2 linked regions of the Notamacropus eugenii genome follow. The protein of the gene in region 2 interacts with the protein of the main gene of each other region in a biochemical or structural test. Links are inferred from orthologs where the notes say so. Each region holds a gene or a part of one and is shown on either strand. Other genes may lie near its edges. The genes, in order: UBE2W and RNF4.

Evidence for each region.
Region 1: the proteins of RNF4 (region 2) and UBE2W form a complex in vitro, tested with the Homo sapiens proteins (2 studies listed by BioGRID). The link is inferred for Notamacropus eugenii from reciprocal best matches to the Homo sapiens genes RNF4 and UBE2W.

The regions. Positions count from the first base shown.
Region 1 is NC_092875.1:294,723,073-294,734,343, forward strand, and holds the start of UBE2W (ubiquitin-conjugating enzyme E2 W), read right to left. Parts: upstream 5,226-11,271; 5' UTR 5,166-5,225; coding exon 4,950-5,165; intron 1-4,949. UniProt on the Homo sapiens protein: Accepts ubiquitin from the E1 complex and catalyzes its covalent attachment to other proteins.
Region 2 is NC_092877.1:52,190,411-52,201,049, reverse strand, and holds the start of RNF4 (E3 ubiquitin-protein ligase RNF4), read right to left. Parts: upstream 4,717-10,639; 5' UTR 4,613-4,716; coding exon 4,580-4,612; intron 1-4,579. UniProt on the Homo sapiens protein: E3 ubiquitin-protein ligase which binds polysumoylated chains covalently attached to proteins and mediates 'Lys-6'-, 'Lys-11'-, 'Lys-48'- and 'Lys-63'-linked polyubiquitination of those substrates and their subsequent targeting to the proteasome for degradation.

The sequences.
Region 1 (11,271 bases), on a different chromosome or scaffold from region 2:
TCCAAACCTCATCAGTTACAAGTAGCTTTATTTAACTAAGGACTCAGAAGAGAAAGTTCTTGCCACCAATATACTTGGCAGAGTCAAATGCTTCAACATCAGAAACAGATACAGTTTTCTCAATAGAAATAACACTAGATGCATGACCTGGTGCAGTGGCAGTAAACCCTAGGGACCAGTGGATCTTTCCATCTGCTATCTACCTGAAACTTCCTATATATGTTGTCTCCTCCTATTAGAATGTGAGCTCTTTGGGAGTATGGATGGGGTCACTTTTTTCTCTGTAGCCCCAGTGCTTGGTACTGGGTATACAGTAAACACTTAATGTTTTTTCCCCAACCTATGCCTCTAAATGTTTGCCCAGCACCTCTCTAGAAAGCATTAATTAAGTTACCAAGAAAGCATTAAGTATGCTACTATGGCCAGGACTGACCAAAGTTCTTTAGTCTTTCAAAGTGAGAGTTCTCCATAATTAGCCAGACTACATCAACCTGCCTGCAGCTCTCCGGCCACCTTCAGGCCATATCTCCTCACCTTCAGCTCTCCACTCTTGCCCTGGGGTCAAGTTTGCTCCGGATGGCTAAGAAATCTCCATAAGTGACTTGCTTCAAGCTGTGTCAAAAGGTAACCACCACCATCTCCCTCCCCAACCCCAATATGGCTCTTGGAATAACTAAATCAATACTATCCTGGAAAGGACGTTCCCCTGAGGTTCCACTCACCAACCAGTGACTTCCTAAATCATATCACTTATCCCTTATATATACACTATCTTCCCTTGGTAGAAGTCAATAAGGACTTTCTTTTGTTTCACCACAAACTAGCAATCTTGCACCTAATGAACAAAATAAAATATATGCTTTTTAATTCATTAATTTCATTCACAAGAGCGTGGACTGGTAGGTAGTTACACTGATTTAGGAAAAGAACATCAATAAAACAAATTTTTTTAAAAGAAAAAGATAAAAGTTCAGAAGGGGACACAGGTAAGAAAGGCAGTTTGGTTACTATAATGTTAAATTTTATATACTCATAGGGACAATTTCTTCATGAAGGGATAGTGTGCAAAACTTGGAGTCAAGCAGACCTGGATTCAAATCCTGCCAGACACCGTGTGACCCTAAGCAAGTCAATCTCAATTTCTGCATCTGTTAAATCTGTTTTCTAGGTTTGGTGACCTGAAAGGTCCCTTTCCAGTTCTAAATTATTGATCCTGAAAACTCTCAGGTTAGGAAACTCCTTACAGAAATGTGCCTTCTCTGTAATTTATAACCCTAGAAAGTTGCTTAAAAGGTTAGAGGAACTTGCCCAGGGTCACACAACCAGCGTGTGTCAGAGGCAGGGCGTAGTTGAAATATTCATGTTAATGTTTAAGTTCACTTTTTTTAAGACAAAAAAAATGAGGGAGGCATTGCTCCAAAAGGAACCACAAATAAGGAAGAAGTTTGAAAACTACTGCCTTAATAGAAAGCATAAAATGGGCTGTGATCAAGGGCCTTTCATGTTAGTTTGGGACACTGGAAAAGTCAGGCTTTCATTTCCATACGTGTAAAAATAAGTTAAGATTAGATGATCTCTAGTCCTTATCAGCTCTTCAATTGTTTAAATCTATGAATACTAATACAATATACATCTTGAGATTGCAAAATAAATTTTTCTTAAAAAATTCAGATTTCATCTTTAGGAAATACTACTCTAAAATAGTCTGTTTACCTTTGATTTTATTACATTGGTTCTAGAAACTAATTTTTTTCATGTCTATTTGTGTTTATGCCTCGTTATTTTAATATATATTTTATGTCAATTTACAAACCTGTAGAGGGCTTTACCCTCTTAATATTTAGTAGCAGCATTATGTCCAGATAATGACATTGTTCTTTAGATCAAGAAAATTAAAGAACCTGCTCATATCTCTTAAATGGTAAGACCATCAATCACAACCCAGCAAATGAAATATGCTTTGAGATATTGTTTACTTTTTCAGTAGATATTTTAGTCATCTAGGATAATGTATTACAAACTAATAAATTTTTTCAGGAAAAAAATCTAGTCACCAAGGACAACATGAAAATAGACTTGCATAATATCCAAGATATATTAGGAAATGACACAAATTCTAAGAGCTATTTCCCAATAGGTAAGAGGTCAAAGATGAACAGTTTTCAAAAGAATTGCAAATTATAAATAATCATTTGAAAATATTTCCCAAAATACTAATAGTAAGAGAAATATAAAATTACAATAGCTGAAATTACCTAACACCTTGCAAAATTGCAAAAAGAAAAAAAAACAGTCAACATTAATGGGGCTGTGGGAAGGCATGAACATTAATATTCTGTTGATGAAGATATAAAGGGAAAGGAATAAGTATTTATATAAGTACCTACTGTGTGCCAGACACTGTGCTGCGCACTGGACAAACAGCTCATTTGATCCTCACAATATTTTTGTAAGGTAAGACCCTGTTATTATTCCCACTTTACAGCTGAAGAAACTGAGGCAAAGAGACATTAAGAGACTTGCCCAAGATCACATAGCTAATAAGTGTGTGAGATGGAATTTGAACTCAGGTCTTCATGACTCCAGATCCACAGCTCTTTCCACTGTACAAATTAGGTGCCTTATCCATCAAATGGTTTGATAGCTCTGGTTATCAATTTGGAATTCTGAAAGAAAAGGGAACTTAACTGTCCATATTCTTTGACCTAATGATCCAGCAAAACATTCATAGTAGCACTCGTTATAGTAGAAAAAAAAAGTAAACAATGATATAGATTCCATTGACTGGGAAACGGTTGGGAAAAAAAACCAATTATGCTGTATGAATATTATGCATCCGGAAAAAAGAGATTTATATGACCTTGGAGCACAAAATAAACAGAACCAAAGAGTAACATATCTCATGACTACAACTATAGAAATGAAAAGATCATTTAAAGGAAGTTGAATTGAGTACAGTTAACTGGAAAAAAAATGAAGGATCCAAAGAATATATAATGAAATATAGTTCCCTCCTCACAGAAGCAGGGAAATGATACTAGGCTAGAGTATTGTATTGTAAGATATAGTTATTGTATCAGATGTTATTTTCTAATTGTTTTAATTTGTTATAAGGGAGGGCCTCAATCTGAAAGGATTTCTATACTCTAATCATCCCATCTTCCCTTTTAAGAAATGACCAATGTAAAAGACAAAAAAACATGAATAAAATCATCTTCCAAAATAGTCTTGTAGACTTAAATTTCAAGGTTTTTCTATCATTCAAGAGACTTGACTTTTCTTTATGATCAAAAGCAAAGAAAGTGTTAAGGCTTGCACATCAGAGAGTGTATACCAACATTTTAGAATTTCAAATGCAGGGGATAACTTTAGTGTTAGAGATTCCAGAATAAAATTTCAAATATATTTCTAATTAACAAAAACAAAACCAGTTTTCTTCCCCAGTTAGCTAGTCTAAAGTCACTAAAAGCTTTAGGACAAAGAGTGATGCTTGGAACACAAAACATGCATACACATACACATATACATATACATACTGTGTGGACTACATTTTTCATACTGCCTCTGTCTGTCAAACTCTAAGTTGATAAAAATTGAGTTCTGTCCCAACTTGGTTTCTGCTCACAATTCAAATTTCCCTTCTCATTTTCAAAAAAAAAAAAAAACCAGTTATAATCTTGTCTTTCAGAACCTCAGATCTAATTTTACTCTTAATATTTTGCTGCAAGTCACTATCACTGTAATACACTCTACCAAATAATCCCATATGATAGTTTTTCCCCCACAATAAAGGTTATTTGAACATTTAGTTCAAATTCTATTTAACATAGGGTTTCTCCCTACATTTCTCCTTCTGAGTCTTAAATGATAGATGGACTTTCCATCGATCCTCCGTGATCAAACTCTCCTGAGTACTTAATACTCCGAATTTTTTCCACATATTGAACTGACACTTTCCCCTCAAATTAATTTAATTACATCTTTCCTTGTATTTCTTCAACAAAAATAAATATATAACCTTTTGTGTGTTGCATGAAAGAGTAGGGAAGGAAAGGCAAGAGAAAAAGCACAGAGAATAATAAAAGGAGAATGAGGTAAATGGGAACAAAGATGGTGTGTGCACAAAAGGGGAAGGATGCAGAAAAGGGAAGAGGAGAAAAGGAAGATCGTGTTGTCACAGCTTACAAAGAGAAAAAGCTGGGAGGAGTTTACATTTTTCAGAAGCCAAAAAACAAAAGAGCTATTTTTAACGGCGTGAAGCAAAATGAAGCAGTTTTGTTCCCTGAAGAGTTAAGTCCTTAAGCTCCAAAAATCCTGAGCTGACAGCTCACACCTCGGACTTAGTTTCTCTTCCAAGCAACTAACATTTTCGTAATTCTAGTCACCTTTGAATGAACACATGTGCCATCCATTTCAACGAACTAGAACACTGCCATCTGTCCAGGCAGTCTTCGGACGGTACAGTATCGATAAGGGTCTCTAACTCCTCATCGAAAACTCCAGTGGAAATGACATTAATAAACTCCCACTAAAAAGCGTTTCGCTAAAATGTTTGGAGAAAGGAAAGCAGAGGACGGTAAAACTGCGACCAAGGTTAAAAGTAGGGTACTTAGTTCTGGGGGCCGGGGGGATTACACATCGGGTGAGGAAGCAGCAGAGGAGCCGGTACGTGAAAGTTTCGGGGAGACCCAGACTGGAGCATTATTGGGTGAGACTTTAAACAGTGGGAGGATGTCCTACATAAGGTACGGGGCAGGGGAGAGCCAGAGGCGAAGGCTGCCGGTCAAGGGAGTGACTGTAGCTACAAGGAGCACTGGATTCAAGGGCGAAGGGGAAGGTATTTTACTCATAGAGGTGGGGAGCAGAGGCAGCGGGAGAAGAAGGGAAGGAAGGCGGCCAAAGGAAGAGCCTCGGAGGCCCGGCCGGAGCCGCCGTCCCCGGGGACCGACCTCGGGGTCTCTCGGTCTCTCCCACTTGACACAGATCCTCCCTCTCACTCCGGTCTGGACGCCGAGGCGGTCACGAAGCCCACGGGGAAAACAGCTGTTTCCTTTCGGGACAGGGAGAAGGGCAAGCAGGGGAACCTGGGCCGTGAAGGCAGAGGGGAGCGGCCGGGGGGCCACGGCTCGGGCCAACCCAGCCCTCCGCACCCTTCCCCCCACCATTCCCCCAACTTCTCCGGCTCCGGGGTCGGCTAGGGCGGGCCGGTGGTACCCCGCCTTCCCCGCGGCCGCCGGGGGCGAGGAGAGGCGGAGCCGGCCCGGCGCCGCAGACCCCGGCAGGCTCGCAGCCCTCCGCTCCCGCGGCCGCCGCCGCCGCCCTCAGCCAATCCCACAACCTCACCCCTCCTCAGCCGGGCGTTCGGATGCCGCAAACTCCTCTCACCTGCATGGACGCCATGATGGAACCATCCCCCCTGCCCGGCGCAGCCAGAGACGCAGGAGGAGGAGCCGCCGTGCTCGCGTCACGCCGCGGGATCCCAGGATCCGGGCTTGGGGGCGGGGGGTCGGAGACCGCAGGAGAAGGGAGAGCGAGATCCGGATTGGCCGCTGGGCCCACGAGCCGCGAGAGGGGGCGGGCCTAGGTGGGGGCGGGGCGGGAGCCCCGCAGGTGCTCACAGTTCCCTCTCCTCCTTCTCGGTCCTCTCCCCCCACCCCCCAGCCATCCCGGCCCAACGTCCGAGGCGGCCCCGCCCAGAAGCACCCGGGAAAGAATGAGGGAGGGGGAGGGGGAGGACAAGAGAAAGCGGGGGAAGGAGTTTAGTGCCAGGGCCCGGGAGGGCTCCGAGGCGAGATGCGGGGAGCCGGCTGGCCTCGGTCCGGGGATTAGCTCCTTCTGGTCCCCGCGTTCTGGACCATTCGTTTCCTCCTGACTTTCACAGTCTCGCGGCCCCCGCCCCCGGGACCCTGCCTTAGTGTGGAGCTAGCCCCGGAGGTCTCCACGTCCCCGCGGGGCGGTAGGACGAGGGGTAATCAGCGGAACCGGTCCGCCGAGATGAGCTGGGATGTGCCCGAGGACGTGCCTGCAGAGGCGGTGGGTCCGGCCCGCCCCGCGCTCGGGGAGCGCTGCTGCCGGGGCGGCCGCGGGGTCAAGCGCCGGGAGGACGGAGAAACGCCGACAAGCCCCCGGAGCCGCCCCGACCCGCCGGGCGCGGGCCTCGGAATCCTGCCGCTCCCCGGGCGGAGGCATTCCGAACTCACTGCACATCCGTGCTGGTGACTGTCCTCCGAAGTGTAGACTTTGCAAGTGCTGGCACCATTGCTGCCTTTAAATAGAGGACAGAGTCGGCGCTGGAGAGAGGTGGGGAGCGGTGTGTGAATGACTCTGAATATGTGGATCTATTTTGTTTTTTACTGTAATTTCTGTTACACATACGAACCTGTCTGAACTTCGGACGTCTGGGGATGGGGGTGCGGGAGGCGTACAATCCACAAGATCTCCCTGAACATTCGAGATCTGGAGGATGAAAAATGCTCTGTAAGAAGCAAACCTTCACCCAGGAAAAAACTTCAGACTGTCATCCGTGAAAGCAGCACGTGTATGTGAACCACCTAGGTAATGCTGTGCAAAGCAGACGCGAGTACTTCAGATTTAAAAGTATTCTAAAGTTAGAACGGTGTCTTTTACTTCTTATATTTGTCTTTATTTTGAAAAAAAATAAAAAACTTCCCATGAAATTTCAAAAGTGACTTTGAAGAAGAAGGAGTTGGAAAATATACTAATTATTCTTCATTAACGTATAGGATTTGTGATTGTTCATATTCAAGGGGGACATCTCCAAATCTTATGAAACTACATGGTTTTGATGTCAAAATATATATTCTCAGCTACAGCAGCGCTTGCTTTTACTTGCTAACTTCCCTGACCGCGTAGATTAGAGAAACTGGTTGGTTTTCTCTGTCGGAGAAAAATTAGTCAATTTTATCAACAATAGTCCGGAAGGCATGTAGTCTAAGCTGTGAAAAGACAGTTTTGTCCGGTCAAAATTACTACACTGAGAGGGAAGAAATATTCAATATTAAAAAAAAGAAGAAGAAGCTTAACAATTAGAGCTGAACTGTCAAACATGAATACCTAGACAGATCTAGCACTTTTTAAGGCAAAAATACTTGATGATCCTATGTTCACAAAAAAGGGTAATGCCTTTGTTAATGCCTTGACCCCAAACCTTATGGATGTCAATAAGGAAGAGACATTTTTCAAGAATCTGGACAAAATCATAATATCACTATCAAATCTGAAGTTGTTGGTCATATGAATTTCAATGTATTTGTTAGCAGGGATGCTAAATGCGATGGAGAAGTCATTGGAGAAATCAGAAAACTATAGAACCACAGAATTTTCTAGCTGGAAAGGTCCTTAGAGATAATTTAGTTAACTTATTTAATTCTTTAGGCCAACAAGGTGTCAGTAGTTAGAGTGCAGGGCCTGGAATCAGAAAGACTCTTCTTTTTGAGTTCAAATCTGGCCTTCACACACTTACTAGTTGTGTAACTATGGGCAAGTCTCTTAAACCTGTTTGCCTCAGTTTCCTCATCCATAAAATGATTTGAAGAAGGAAATGACAAACCACTCCAGTATCTCAGCCAAGAAAATCCCAAATGGGGTCACAAAGAGTCAAACATAACTGAAAACAACTCAACATTTAATTCTTTAGATGAACAGCATAGCAAGTACCAGCCACATGTTTCATTTATGACTTGAAATCTAAGGAACTGACAAGACCAAATGATCTAGTTAGATATTCAAAATACATTCAGAGTCATATATTATATATATGTATATATGTCATATAATATATGGTGCAGTGGATAGCGCACCAGTGCAGGAATCAGGAGGACCAGAGTTCAAATCTCACCTGAGACACTTGATACTCACTAACTGTGTGACCTTGGGCAAATCACTTAACCCCAATTGCCTCATCCTGGGTCATCTCCAGTCATCCTGATGAATATCTGGTCACTGGATTCAGATGACTGTAGAGGACAGGTGAGGCTGGTGACCTCACAGCCCTCCCTCACTCCAAACAAAGTCAAGTGCAAGTCATGTCATTATTTCTCTGATGGCCTAGTCTTCTTTGGCAATGAAGGATGAACACACACACAATATAAAGCCCCAGAATATTGATATAGGTAGCAAAGAATATTATGCCTTGGATTAACTAATGAAAAAAGCATTTGTTAAGTTAAATATTGTCATACTTTCTGCCAAGCACTGTGCTGAATGCTTGGGCTACAAATAGAAAAGAAAGACAGTCCCTGCTTTCAAAGAACTCACATTCTAACTGGGGAGACAATGTATAGAATTTACTTTCAGGACAGATGATCTTTAGAGTACAGTGGCAAAGCAGTCAGTAATACATCTTTAGTGTCATTTCCATTGATAAACCAAATCCATTTCTGATTTTGACCCTTTTTTTTCTGTTGCCAAGGATTTTAGTGGAGAGAACTTTCTTTTCTGGGGTTTCAGGAGTTTGGAAACAAGTAGACCACTCAATTTCCAAATTAAGCAATAGAATCCTACTGGATTAACTAATTGACTAAGTGCACTAAGGCCTCCTTTTGGTGATGTGAAGAACCCCTTATACAAGTACTAAAAATAGAATATAGTTTGTTGGACCTGAAATATTCATTCAGGAGAGGGCTGTTGTTGTTACCAACCTAAGAGCATCCCCATGGGGAATTTGAGGTACTTGGAGAATTGTGTTCATCAACTCATTGTGGATCTTCATTAAGTATCTGCACTTGAGACCTGTGTGCACCTGTCCCAGAACAAAGGAAAACAGAGAAAGCTGAAGTGTCTTATCCAAGGACACACAATGGTATTCGGTGGAATTTGAATTAGAACCCAGCTCTCTTTCATTCAACATTCATTCAGGAAACTTTCATTCAAAACAGACCTCCACCTTAACGATATCTCATAGTGCCAAGTGACAGCAAATAATTAATTACAAGCATCATCCTCGGCCAAACGCTATTGTACTCAAAAAACTTTGGTGGTTCTCTATTGTCTCTAAGTAAAATACAAACTCCTCTGATATTTTAAGCTCTTCATAATCATATTCTCAGAATATCTCTTATATGGGTCTCTACTCACACAGCCCCCATCTTGGTTCAGGCCCTCATCACCTTTCCCCTAGAATTCCTACAGTCTTTCCCTGCTCTAATTTATTCTTTGCTCAGGATTCAGTCATTTTTCTAAGGCATCCATCATGCCACACTCCATACCTAATAAACTCCAGTAGCTCCCTATTAGTTCTAGAATCAATTATAAAATCTCTTTGGCATTTAAAGAAAGTCCTTCATAACCCCTTCTTACCTTTTCATTCTTCTTATACTTTACTCCTCTCCATGTTAGTTTGACCCAGAAATACTAGCCTATTTACTATTTCTGGCACATGACCTTTCATATCCAGCTTCTGTTGGCGTGCTCTGGCCATACTCTCACCGCCAGTCCCATTCCCCCAGTGCTGCTTTTCCCGATCTCCTTCTTTTCAAATTCCTGGCTTCTTTTAAGACTCAGATCAAATACTACTTCTGCAAGAGGCCTTCCCCAGTATTTCCCTCCCTGACATTACCTACAAATCACAAACTCCTGAAGACAGGAACTGCTTTTGCCTTTCTCTCAATCCCCAATAGTTAGTCAGTGCCTGACATTGTAAGTTCTTAACAAATGCTTATGGACCTATTTTTTAAGACTTATTACTGCTATTCTCCTTATTGTGTTCCAACTGCTTTCATTCCACAATCATTTATTAAGATCCTGTAAGAGAAAAGTTTTAATCAACTATTAAAGGATGTAAGATGCAGCCACTGTTATCAGTGAATGTTGTGATGCCTAAAAGAAATAGAAAGAAGCAGGAGAAGAAGTTTGTTTTAATTTCTTGTTGTTTGGTCATGTCTGACTCTTTGTGACCCCATTTGGGGTTTTCTTGGCGAAGATATTGTAGTGGTTGGCCGTTTCCTTCTCCAGCTCATTTTATAGATGAAGAAACTGAAGCAAACACAGGGTTAAGTGACTTGCTTTGGGTCACACAGCTAATAAGTATCTGATGTCAGATTGGAACTCAGGAAGAGGAATCTTCCTGACTCCAGGCCCAGCAATCTATCCACTGTACCACCTAACTAAAGTATGATGCATGGAGGGGCGGAGCCAAGATGGCAGAGTAGAAAGACGCATATACACATAGCTCCGAACCCACAACCCACAGAACGGCTAGAGGGGAGTAACTCACGGCGAATTCTGCACCCAGAGGCCACGGAATATTGGAGCGAGGGAGATTTCTGTTCCGGAGAGACCTGCAAACCTCTCATGGGGGGTCCTTCGCGCTGTGGACTGGGCGCCGGGACTGGGAGCAGAGGACAGCCCTGCAGCGGCCGCGACACCGTGAGGAAAAGATCCGAGCGGGCTATGGGGACAGGATATCCAGCGGCGGCACAAGCCCCCCCACCCACAGGTGATGAGGGTCGGTGAGAGAGTCTCTTTGGCGGGTCGAGAGGGGAGTGGGGTGTCCCCATGGCTCGGGGCCCCCCCCCGGGAGATAGAAGCTGAGAGGTGGCTGCAGACAGGGGCTCCCCAAGGGGGCAGGAGCCTGAATCCATTGTGGAAGGTCTGTGCATAAACCCCCTGAGGGAACTGAGCCTGAGAGGTGGCCCTGCCCCGACCTGACCATCTGAACTTAATTCTCACACTGAATAGCAGCCCTGCCCCCGCCAAAGCCCTAAGGCAGGAAGCAGCATTTGAATCCCAGTCCCCAAACGCTGGCTGGGAGGACCAGGAGGTGAGGTGGGTGTGAGGAGAATATTCAGAGGTCAAGTCACTGGCTGGGGAGAATGCCCAGAAAAGGGAAAAGAAATAAAACTATTGATGGCTACTTTCTTGGAGATCAGACATTTCCTCCCTTCCTTTCTGATGAGGAAGAACAATGCTTACCATCAGGCAAAGACACAGAAATCAAGGCTTCTGTGTCCCAGCCCACCCAATGGGCTCAGGCCATGGAAGAACTCAAAAAGAATTTTGAAAATCAAGTTGGAGAGGTGGAGGAAAAACTGGGAAGAGAAATGAGAGGGATGAAAGAGAAGCATGAAAGGCAGATCAGCTCCCTGCTAAAGGAGAACCAAAAAAATGTTGAAGAAATTAACACCTTGAAAACTAGCCTAACTCAATTGGCAAAAGAGGTTCAAAAGGCCAATGAGGAGAAGAATGCTTTCAAAAGCAGAATTAGCCAAATGGAAAAGGAGATTCAAAAGCTCACTGAAGAAAATAGATCTT
Region 2 (10,639 bases):
GTTTCTGTCTATAAATACCCTGACCCTCGGATCAATAAAGGGAGTTGCCCTATCTTCTCTCGCCTGCCTGTGTCTTTTTTTTTCACTGCTGTCACCGAGCCACGTAGGGACGCAGGCCATCTGCCACACCTTATTATAAAGGGGGTAAGAGACAGGGAGTTATCCTGAGGCTACAAATCTGAGTGACAGAAATAGCTAAGTTTGGAAAAGGCTTTAGTAGGGACACAAATTCTGTTTTGGACATGTTGTGTCTGAGATGCCAGTGGAAATTCCAGATGGAGATGCCTGTAGGGGAATTGGAAAGGTAGGACTGAGTTTCAGGAGAGAGTTTATGACTGGATACATGTATACACACATATACACATATACATATATCTATACATTATATATACATATATGTAATGGAAACTAATCAGGAGAATCACCTGAGATTTGTTGGACTTTGGGCCACCTCTAGTAAACCATATTTATTTTAGCTCCAGGTTGAAGGATGTGGCATTTGGGATGACACAGCAAGTCCTAAATGGTCTTCTGGTCCCCCATGATGGGGGTGGGGGGGAAGAGTGCCAGCTAAGTTTAAAAGGAGAGATTGCTTTCACTTTCTCTCAACTCTTCTTTTTTTTCTCCAGTAGGAACATGAAATTTCCTCCCTGGGATTTGGGGTTAAAAGCCATCATTCACACATGGCAGTGAACACATGTGATGCCCAGATGAGCCTGAGTTAGACCCTCTTTCTTTTTCTGATCATAGGTGACCAAGCAGTGATCATGAGAGCAGGACTTTTGCTGAGTGTATCTACCTTAAGAATTTGGGAACTCCTAGTTTCCATAGTCAATACTGTTAGAGAAGCCTCTTGAAGCAAGGATGGTGCTTCTTGGAGGAGAGATGACTGGCAAGATGAACTAAAGACTTGACCTGGCTTGCCAGAAGCAGTGGACCTGGAAGGAAATGTATAACAGTGCAGAGCTGAGGTGAGGGTGAAATACCCACCTGACAATCCCACAGTATGTTCCTTGCTTTAATGTTTTAAGTATCAGCCTCCCAGAAGAGTTATATTATTGCTTCAAATTTGTCAGTGAGTGCTGGTCTTTTTTTAAGTGTGCGTGTGCTTGCATGCAGTTGTTCTATGCATGATCTATGTTGCACATTGAGTACTTTTCTATGCCCTTTTAAGGAGACCCTGAACATTATCCAACCTCAGCTTTAAGTGATTTTCCCTGAGACTCAAGGGTTTGAGTATAAAGAGCCAGAAAGTTTGAGAAAAAGATCCTGACCTCTCTTTTTAGGGAATGAGGAACCCTCAGGACTAAACCAGGTTTGTACATGTAGAACAATTGCTAGGGATTCCTTTAGAGAGGGAGGGCAAGCAGCTCAGCCCTGCTGAGCTCAGCATGTTGTTACCTGTTTGTATATATGTTTAAGTCATCTGAGTAAGTTGATATTTGAACACATTTGAGTGAATGAGATTGGCAAGGGAGAAAGTGTAGAAAGAAAAATTGACATAAGACAGAGCCCTAAACCTAATGAGGTAGAAAATGCTACACAGTTCAGCAAAGGAGATTGCTGAGGGTGACCAAACAGGTAGAAGGAGAACCAGGAGAGAAGTCGAGGGAATGAAGCGTATCTAGGAGAGGATGATGAAAAGTGCAAAAATCTTCAGAGGTCAAGTAAGGAGAAGCTAGAAAAGGGCATCAGACTTAGCAATGATTTTGGGGAAAAGGGATAGAGCAAAGAGCCACATTGTGAGGGGTTGAAAAGTAAATGGATGGTGAAAAGTGGAGGCAGTGAATGTAAATATGTCTATTTAGGAGTTTGGTGTTCATGGGGAGAAGTGTATGATAATAGCCTGAGGAAATGGCAAGATTAAGTGAAGGTTGTTATCAATGGAGAGCTGTGTATGTTTGAGGGTAGCAAAAAGGGAGAGATTGAAGAGAGACAGATAGAAAGAGACAGAGACAGAGAGAGAGGAGGGAAAGGAAGAGATTGAAAGAAGAACAGGGAGGAAGGAGGAGGGAGAGAGACAGGAAATAAAGGCATTCTCAAGGAGAGGGGAAGAGATGGTATATCAAGGGTTCAAGTAAAGCTTTTGGTCTTAGCAAGGAGAAAAAGGCTGTCTTATTAGAGACTAGGCAGAAGAAGAGAAAGCAGGTGAAAACTTCAGAAATTTTGAGGAAGATGAGCCATCGTAAGGTCTTTTCCAGCTTTCACATTCTACGATCTTGGTATTAGGTGTTGACAGAGACTATACAGTGTGATGGGGGGATGTGCAAAGTTGAAATTGGCAGAAAGGTCAACTAGGATGAACACTTAGGAAAAGGTGTTGAGATTTCATCAGTAAGTTTGGAGAAAACAGTTTCTTTCAAGCTAGATTGCGAGAGGCTAGAAAATGGGAGGTGAAGAAGTAGAGGCCATCAATATAGACTCTTTTCCTAGAAGGCTGGCTGTGAAAGGAAGAAGAGATTTGAGGGGACTGCAGGGTCAAAGGAAGGTTTTTGGTTTTTTTTTTTAATAATGGGGAGATGTAGAAATTTGTAGGCAGTAGAGAAGGAGAGCCTGAAGATCAGAGACAAAAAGGAAATATAGTTAACCCTTTCAAATCACAGAGGGTAGGGACATGGGCCCCCCATAGTCCAGAAATCCACTTAAATATTTTTTGGCCCTCCTTTGGTACCAGAGAATTATTACAATATTAAAAGACAAAATATGGTGATATTATACAATGCTGTACATATGTTTTATGCATTTCTAAGTTTCTAAACGTTTTCTGTGTCATCTGCTGTCCTCATGTTGTCTGCAAAATTTCCAAAAAATTCCCATTGAATTTCTTATGCAGACAAGCAATGGGGAAAGTCTAGATATGGAAGAGAAAATAGTCCAAGACCTACCTGAGGCAAAAGGAGAATGTTTGACCATTTATAGGCTCAGGTTAGAATCATTTGTATTTTGTCAGATCAAATAAAAATTGTTCTATATTGTTTGATATTTTTAATCTGAGTACTTATATGGAAGGTGAAGGCCCATTTAGACATGAGACAAACATTCCCTGGGAAAATACTGGGCAGGAACAAAATGAACCAAATTCTGATATTCCTAAGGGAAACCTTACATGGAGGTTTAAGTCAAATAAATAGTTACTGGAATCCTCTAGAACATAATCTTGAGATCCAGAGCCTCAGGTTCTAGCCATGGATCATACTATATTTCTTTTGGCAATATAGTTACTGCCCACGTCAATCATCAGAAGCCAGTAGTAGTCATAAGGCCGTGACAAGTCATTAGTGGTTGGTTCTTTGTCATGTACCAGATATACACTCAAGGAAGACAGCAAACCTCACTCTAGTTATTGTCAAGTTCACAAATTGCTGTTTCAGTACAACAGGGAGTCCGGCTACTCATACTTACCACTTCTTCCTTTGACCCTAGATGGATGATCTTTCATTTGGTGGTACCTGCATATTCACATCATTCATTTTTTCATTCTTTTAGAAGGAAATCTCAAAGACTTGCTCATTTTAGAGATGAGGAATTTGAAGCACACAGAAGAGACTAGTGGTGTGTGGGTGTGTGTTTTTGTGTGTGTGTGTGTGTGTGTGTGTGTGTGTGTGTGTATGGGTATGTGTGTGTGAGTGTGTGTGAGTGTGTGTGTGTGTGTGTGTACTGGATCTCCTTATCTCACCTAGACTGGAAGTGTAGCAGCTACTCTTGGACCTGATACCACTACTGGGACAAAGTACAGAAGCTTTGACTTTCTCCATTTCTGATATAAGTTGGTTTGCCACCACTCCCACCCCACCCCAGGGCAGCCTGGTGACCCACTGCTCCAGAAAGCTCCCAATATTGGTGCCAGACTTAGTGTGTACACTTCAATCGGCTTAACCCTACTGCAGTTCAGAACTCCTGAGCTCAAGCAATCCATCCGCCTCAGCCTCCTCTGGTAGCATGGATTATAGGTGTGTACCATCACACCCAGACCTCCTGTTCTTTTCATCACATTCTACTTCCATTCAAAATCACATTTACCAGCTTACCCATCTCAGTTCCCAGAAATCTTCTGTTCCAAAAGGGTAGCAGGGTAGACATATGTTTACATCCTTTCTGAAAGCAATTTCTCAGGGTTGCTATATCTATCTCCTGCACACACATGGACTTGTCAGTGGATAAGTGTAACACATGGTCTATAAATATCTTCCGATGGCTTTTACAGAGACAATCTAGGTGACTGTACTAGGCCCCATGATTTGGGGGTGAGAGTCGGCTCACTGCTGGTATTGGGTTTGGGTAATGACTCAGAGAGGCAGCTTGGAGGAGAGAAAAGGATGGCTCCATGTCTGGCACTGAGCAAAAGATGTAAGGCTCATATAGAGGCTCAGCCTCTTCTTCCTCCAAAAGGTCATCTCCTTAAGGAGACTGTGGTTTTTTCCCTTCAAAGTTACCTTTGACAGTCATTTTAAGGTAGTTTCACCTATACAGAAATATTAGGAAGACAGGTACTAAGCCCTCTTTACTTCTCTCTCTACAATCTTTCCCCTGACAACGTCATTTACCCCTATGGCCTCAACTACAACCTCTATGCAGATACCTCCCAATTCTTTATCTTCAGGCTAGTCTTCATTCCGCTCTGGATTCCATTCTTGATTCCCCAGACATTTCCCCATCATGCGACAGCAGCCTTCTCACTCTGGAAATTCATTCTGCCTCTGTAGTCTCCTCACTTCATCCTGTAAGCTCACTCTTACCCCTGGCCTTCTCACAATGCAAATATACCCCACCCCTGCAGCTCTTTCCTCTGATTGGTTGGTTTCTCCCATAGCCTCCCTTTTAAGAAAAATGCCCAGGTCACTCATATACCTCTTCATTCTCCTCTGGGCTCCATTCCAGAATTTTCAGACTTTCTCCATCGTGTCCCCATCAAGTACCTTGGTATTTTATGTATTATCTTTTCCCATCTTAGGTCCTTGAAGGCAAGGATTGACTTTCTTTCTGCTTGTTTTTGTATTCCCAGGATTTTAGCACAGTGTTTGGCACATAATAAGTACTTAATAAATGCTTGTTGACTTGACTTGACCTCTTGCTAAATAACCTCCTGAATCCCCCACCCACCCCATTCCCAGCACATCAAATTCAACATGTCTCAACCAAGTTCCTCATTGTCCCCCCAATTTAATAAACATGTAGTACATGCCATGGACTGTGTCAGGCATCAGGTATTAATAGAAAGAAAAAAATGAGACAGCCCTTGACCTGTAGGAGCTTACATTCTATTAGAGGATATAATGTGCCCAGATAAGACAAAGTAATTGGAGGAAGAAGCATCTCCTCTTCTTTATGACTTCATTATTTCTGTCTGTGGTACCACCATTCACCAGGTCTCCCATGTTTGAAACCTTAGTAGAGTATGGGACTTTTCCTTTTCTCCAGTCCCCTATCTCGAAGCAGTTGTCAGGCCCTATTGCTTCCTCCTCTACAGTATCCATCCCATCATCACTTTCCCCACAGCCACAAGTACTCACTTATCCCTACCTGCTGGGACCTTTGCAATAGCCTCCTACAAAGTCTTCTTATTTCCACAATCTTCCCACTCCAATCTCACCTTCTTAGAGCTTTCAGACTAGTCTTCCTTATGCATAGATCCAGTTATGTTGCCCACCAAGCTCCAGACTCTTCAACGTTTGCCTGGTATCTACTGAGTCAAATTCAGATTCCTTAGCTTGGCGTCCAAAATCCTCCATGACCTAGCACAAACCTAACTTTCCAACTTTATCTCACATGACTCAACTCTACACACAGTCTTTGCTCTACTCAAACTATTTATTCATGCAAACTGTCTTCTAGACATACTTTGTGCGTTTTCTGTGCCTGTGTTTTTGTTCTCTATGCCTACAATCCTCGCTTTCTGCCTGATGTCACCACGTTCTTCAAGGCCCAACTCATGGCATTTCCCCTAGGAAGCCTTTTCTACTCTCTTTTTGGTGATAGTCTCTTCCCTACTGAGCTCATACAGGATGTTGTGGCACCACAGTAATGCACTCATCATAAAATGATACATTTTGAGCTAGGGAGACCATCATTTTAGGAAAGGGCCCTGTCATGCTCATGCCTCTCTCACGTCTGAAATCTCTTTGAAATTTTCCTCTTCTCCTGCATCATTGCTTCCTCTCCGCTTTCCAACTCCTCTGTCTTCCCTCATTAGCATCTAAACTTCTTGAGTCTAAGACCTCTTGTTTGCTTGCATTTTTCTCTGTGGATCTTAGTACAGAGCCTGGCATATGCTTTGCCTATCTATCTTATATTAGATCACTTAGACCAACGACTTTTTACAGGGTCATTAGATCATACAGGAAATAGCGTGCTGAGCCTGGCATCAGAAAGAACTGAGTTCAAATCTGGAAACAGACACTTATTAGCTGTGTAGCTATAGGCAAGTCATTTAATCTCTGTTTGCCTCAGTTTCCTCAACTATAAAATGGAAATAATAATTGCACCTGCCTCTCAGAGTTGTTGTGAGGATCAAATGAGATAGTATTTGAAAAGTACTTAGCATAGTGCGTGGCACAGAGTAGGCACTATATAAGTGCTTACTATTAATTATTATTAGATGTGGAAACTGAGTCCAGGAGAGGTTTTGTGATTTGCCCAGGATCTCATGGCAGAATTTGAGCCCAGGTGTTCTAAACTCCAAATCCAACACATTTCTACTGAGGAAACTATCTTTTATTTAGTGTTTTTTTGTGCCATTGTTTTTGATGCTTATATTTCATTCCCCTATTAAACTAAGGCCTATGCAGATAGGGACTATATCTCATCTAAAATTTGTATTTTCCTCCTTCCAGAACAGCATTCTGCACACAGCAGGTCTTTGAATGTTTGTTGAATTGAAATTTACTAACCTCAAGCCTTCAAGATATTAATACTGACCTAGTGGAGACATAAGCTCACCAACTGAAGAGGGAGAGTCAAGCAAAGAGTTTGATGTAGTTCATAGGATCCTGAGAGTTGGAACTGGAAGGACCCATAGGGAACACTGAGTTCAACTTTCTCATTTTACAGATGAGGAAAGTAAGTCCTTGAGCTGGGAAGGAATCTGCTCAGGATCACACAGCTAGTGGGTAGCAGAGTCAAAATTTGAACTGTTGATTCACTCATCCTGAAACTGGAAACCCAGAGGGCAGAGCCAAGATGGCAGAGTAAAGACAATGACTCACCTGAGTTCTCCCAAATTCCCATCCAAAGAACTTTAAAATAATGCCTCAAAATGCTCCATAAAAGGACGTGAAACAATTTTCTAGCTCAAGGCCACTTAGAAGGACTGCAGTTGTGGAAAAGCAAGCACCTCGACATATCACAGAAGCTCCTGCTGTCCAGATTCATAGATCTGCTTTTCTAAAAGGAAAGCAACTTTTGAGGAGTCAACAATCACTTTAATCAAGCACATTTTCAGGGGAAAAAGTAAACACCCTGAACTTCAGAGAAACAAAGATCAGCCAACAGGCAGGGCTTCCAAGCAATACATGCATCACAGATTAACAGACAGATCCAACTGTCTGACCATACATACATACCAGAGGGAGAAAAAGCCAGGGGGCTCCTTAGCAGCTGCCCAGAGTCTCCTCTGACCAAATAAACACTTCCAAAGAGTAAACCTCAAAATAAAATCTCTCCTTAGAGTATTTATATACTTTTCAGAGCCGGAGGTCATCACAACCCTTGAGAACCCAGTGCCTCATTAGAAATTAAGAAAGGGTATGATCCTCTCCTAATCAAGCTTCCCTTAACATGTAGGCCCATCAATGGGCAGGGAAGATCTTTAACTCTCATTAGCATTACAAGGTGTTGCACTAAGTGAGAGTGGAACACAATCCAGTACAGGCAATGTCCTAGCAAACTAGCAGGAGGTCTTGGAGGGGACCCATGGAATTGGCAGGGGTAAATTCCAGAACTCTTAGCCTATAGATGGTAAGGGAGTTAGACAACTGGTCAAAAGGAGATTACAGAGGTTCTGTTATTAGCACTAGGTACAAGACTCTGTTGCACTGCCCATATGTGGATCTAGGTTGCAGTCCTTGGTTATAGTCCCAGGGCAAGAAAGAGCACTAGCACATTAGAGCTTAGGGCTGTAAAGGAGTGGGGGCTCCAATTACAGTTCCAAGGCAGAAAAGAGTGTCTGTGGTCACTAATAGACCAGAGCACAGGCCATGAGAGCAGTGAACATGCTTCTCCTTAGGCCATACCACCTTGGAAGAACTGAAAATTTACAGACCTTCAGAACTAGCTCTGAAATCAGCTGCACCAAAACAAACAACAACAACAAAAAAAACCAACCCAGAATCTTGGGGCAGTGCTCCCTGAACTCTAGGAGCAGAGCCCAACTTTCACATAGAGTTAAAAGTCAATAAATAGTCTAGAAAATGAGCAAACAACAGAAAAAGAACCTGATCATAGGATGCTACTATGGTGTCAGGGAAGATCAAAATGCAAACTTAGAAGAAGACAACAAAGTGAAAACTGCTACGTCCAAAGTCTCAAAGGAAAATAAGAATTGGTCTCAAACTCAAAAAGAATTCTTGGAAGAGCTCAAAAGAATTTCAAAAAGGAAAAATTAGGAAAAAAATTAGTGTGATGCAAGAAAATCATGAAAAAAGATCAATAGCTTGGTAAAGGAGGTACAAAAAATACTGAAGAAAATAACACATGAAAAAACAGAATAGATCAAATGGTAAAAGAGGCACAAAAATTCACTAAGGAAAAGAACTACTTACAAAACAGAATCAGCCAAATGGAAAAAAGATATACAAAAATTCCCTAAAGGAAAGAATTCCTTAAAAAGTAGAATTGTCAAATAAAAAGGGAAGTACAAAAGTTCACTGAGGAAACTAATTCCTTAACAGTTAGAACTGGGCAAAAGGAAACTAATGACTACATGAGACATCAAGAAACAATAAAACAAAATCAAAAGAATGAAAAAATACAAGAAAATATGGAATATCTCATTGGAAAAACAACTGATTGAGGAGAGACAATTTAAGAATTATTGGAGTACCTGAAAGTCAAAAAAGAACACAGACATCATCATTCAAGATTGTCAAGGAGAACTGCCCTGGTATTCTAGAACCAGAGAATAAAATAGAAATCAAAAGAACAGACTTATCGCCTCCTGAAAGACATCCCAAAATGAAAACTCCCAGGAATATTACAGACAAATTGTAGAGCTTTCAAGTGAAAGAGAAAATATTTCAAGCAGCAGAAAGACAATTTAAATATGTTGGAACTACAGTCAAGATAACATAAGATTTAGCATCTTCTACATTTAGGGATGAGAGGACTTCCAATATAATATTCCAGAGAGCAAAGGAGCTAGAATTACAACCAAGAATCACCTACCCAGCAAAACTGAGTATAATCCTTCAGGAGAAAAAAAAATGTATATTCAATGAAATAGAACACTTTCAAGAATTCCTGATGAAAACAACAGAGCTGAATAGAAAATTTGACTTTCAAAGACAAGACTCAAGAGAAGCATAAGAAGGCACACAGGAAAGAGGAATCATAAGGAATTCAATAAGGTTAAACTGTTTACATCCCTCCATGGGAAGATGGTACTTATAACTCCTAAGTGCTTTCTCATTATTAGGGCATTTAGAAGGAGTGTGCATAAACAGAAAGCATAGGTGTGAATTGACTATGATAGGATGGCATTTAAAAAAATAAAATTAAGGAGTGAGAAAGAGGAGTGCACTGGAAGAAGAAGGAAGGGAGAGGTAGAATGGGGCAAATTGTCTTACATAAAAGAGACACTAAAGAGCTTTTAAAATGGAGGAGAAGATGAGGTGGGGGATGGGCAATGCTTCAACCTTACTCTCATCAGAATTGGCTCAAAGAAGGAATAACATTCAATTGGTTATCATCTATCATACAGGAAAGTAGAAGGGGAAGGAGATAAGAGAAGGTAGGGGCTGATTAAAAGGAGAGAGTCAGAAGCAAAACACTTTTGAGGATGGACAGGTTGTAAGGAGAGAGTACAATAAAGAGGGGAAAAATGTGATGGGGGAAATATACGGTAATCATAACTGTGAAAATTTTTTCCAAGTTTCACTTTTAAAAGTCAAATTTTTAAGAATACAAGTTATTCACCAATTGATAAATGGTCTAAGGATATGAACAGGCAGTTTTCAGACAAAGAAATCAAAACTATCAATAGCCATGTGAAAAAATACTCTAAATAATTACTGATTAGAGAAATACAAATTAAAACAACTCTGGGGTACCACTTCACACCTATCAGATTGGCTAATATGACAGAAAAAGAAGATGACAAATGTTGGAGGGGTATAGGAAAACTGAGACACTAATGCATTGTTGAAAGAATTGTGACCTGATCCAACCATTCTGGAGAACAATTTGAAAGTATGCCCAAAGGGTTATAAAACTGTGCATACCCTTTGACCCAGCAATGCTACTGGGTATAAAATAAAATCAAAGAGATTTTTAAAAATAAAGGAAAGGACCTATATGTGCAAAAATATTTATAGCAGCTCTTTTTGAAAAGAATGTCCATCAATTGGGGAGTAGCCGAGCAATCAGTAGTATATGACTGTGATGGAATACTATTGTCCTATAAGAAATGATGAGCAGGTTGATTTCA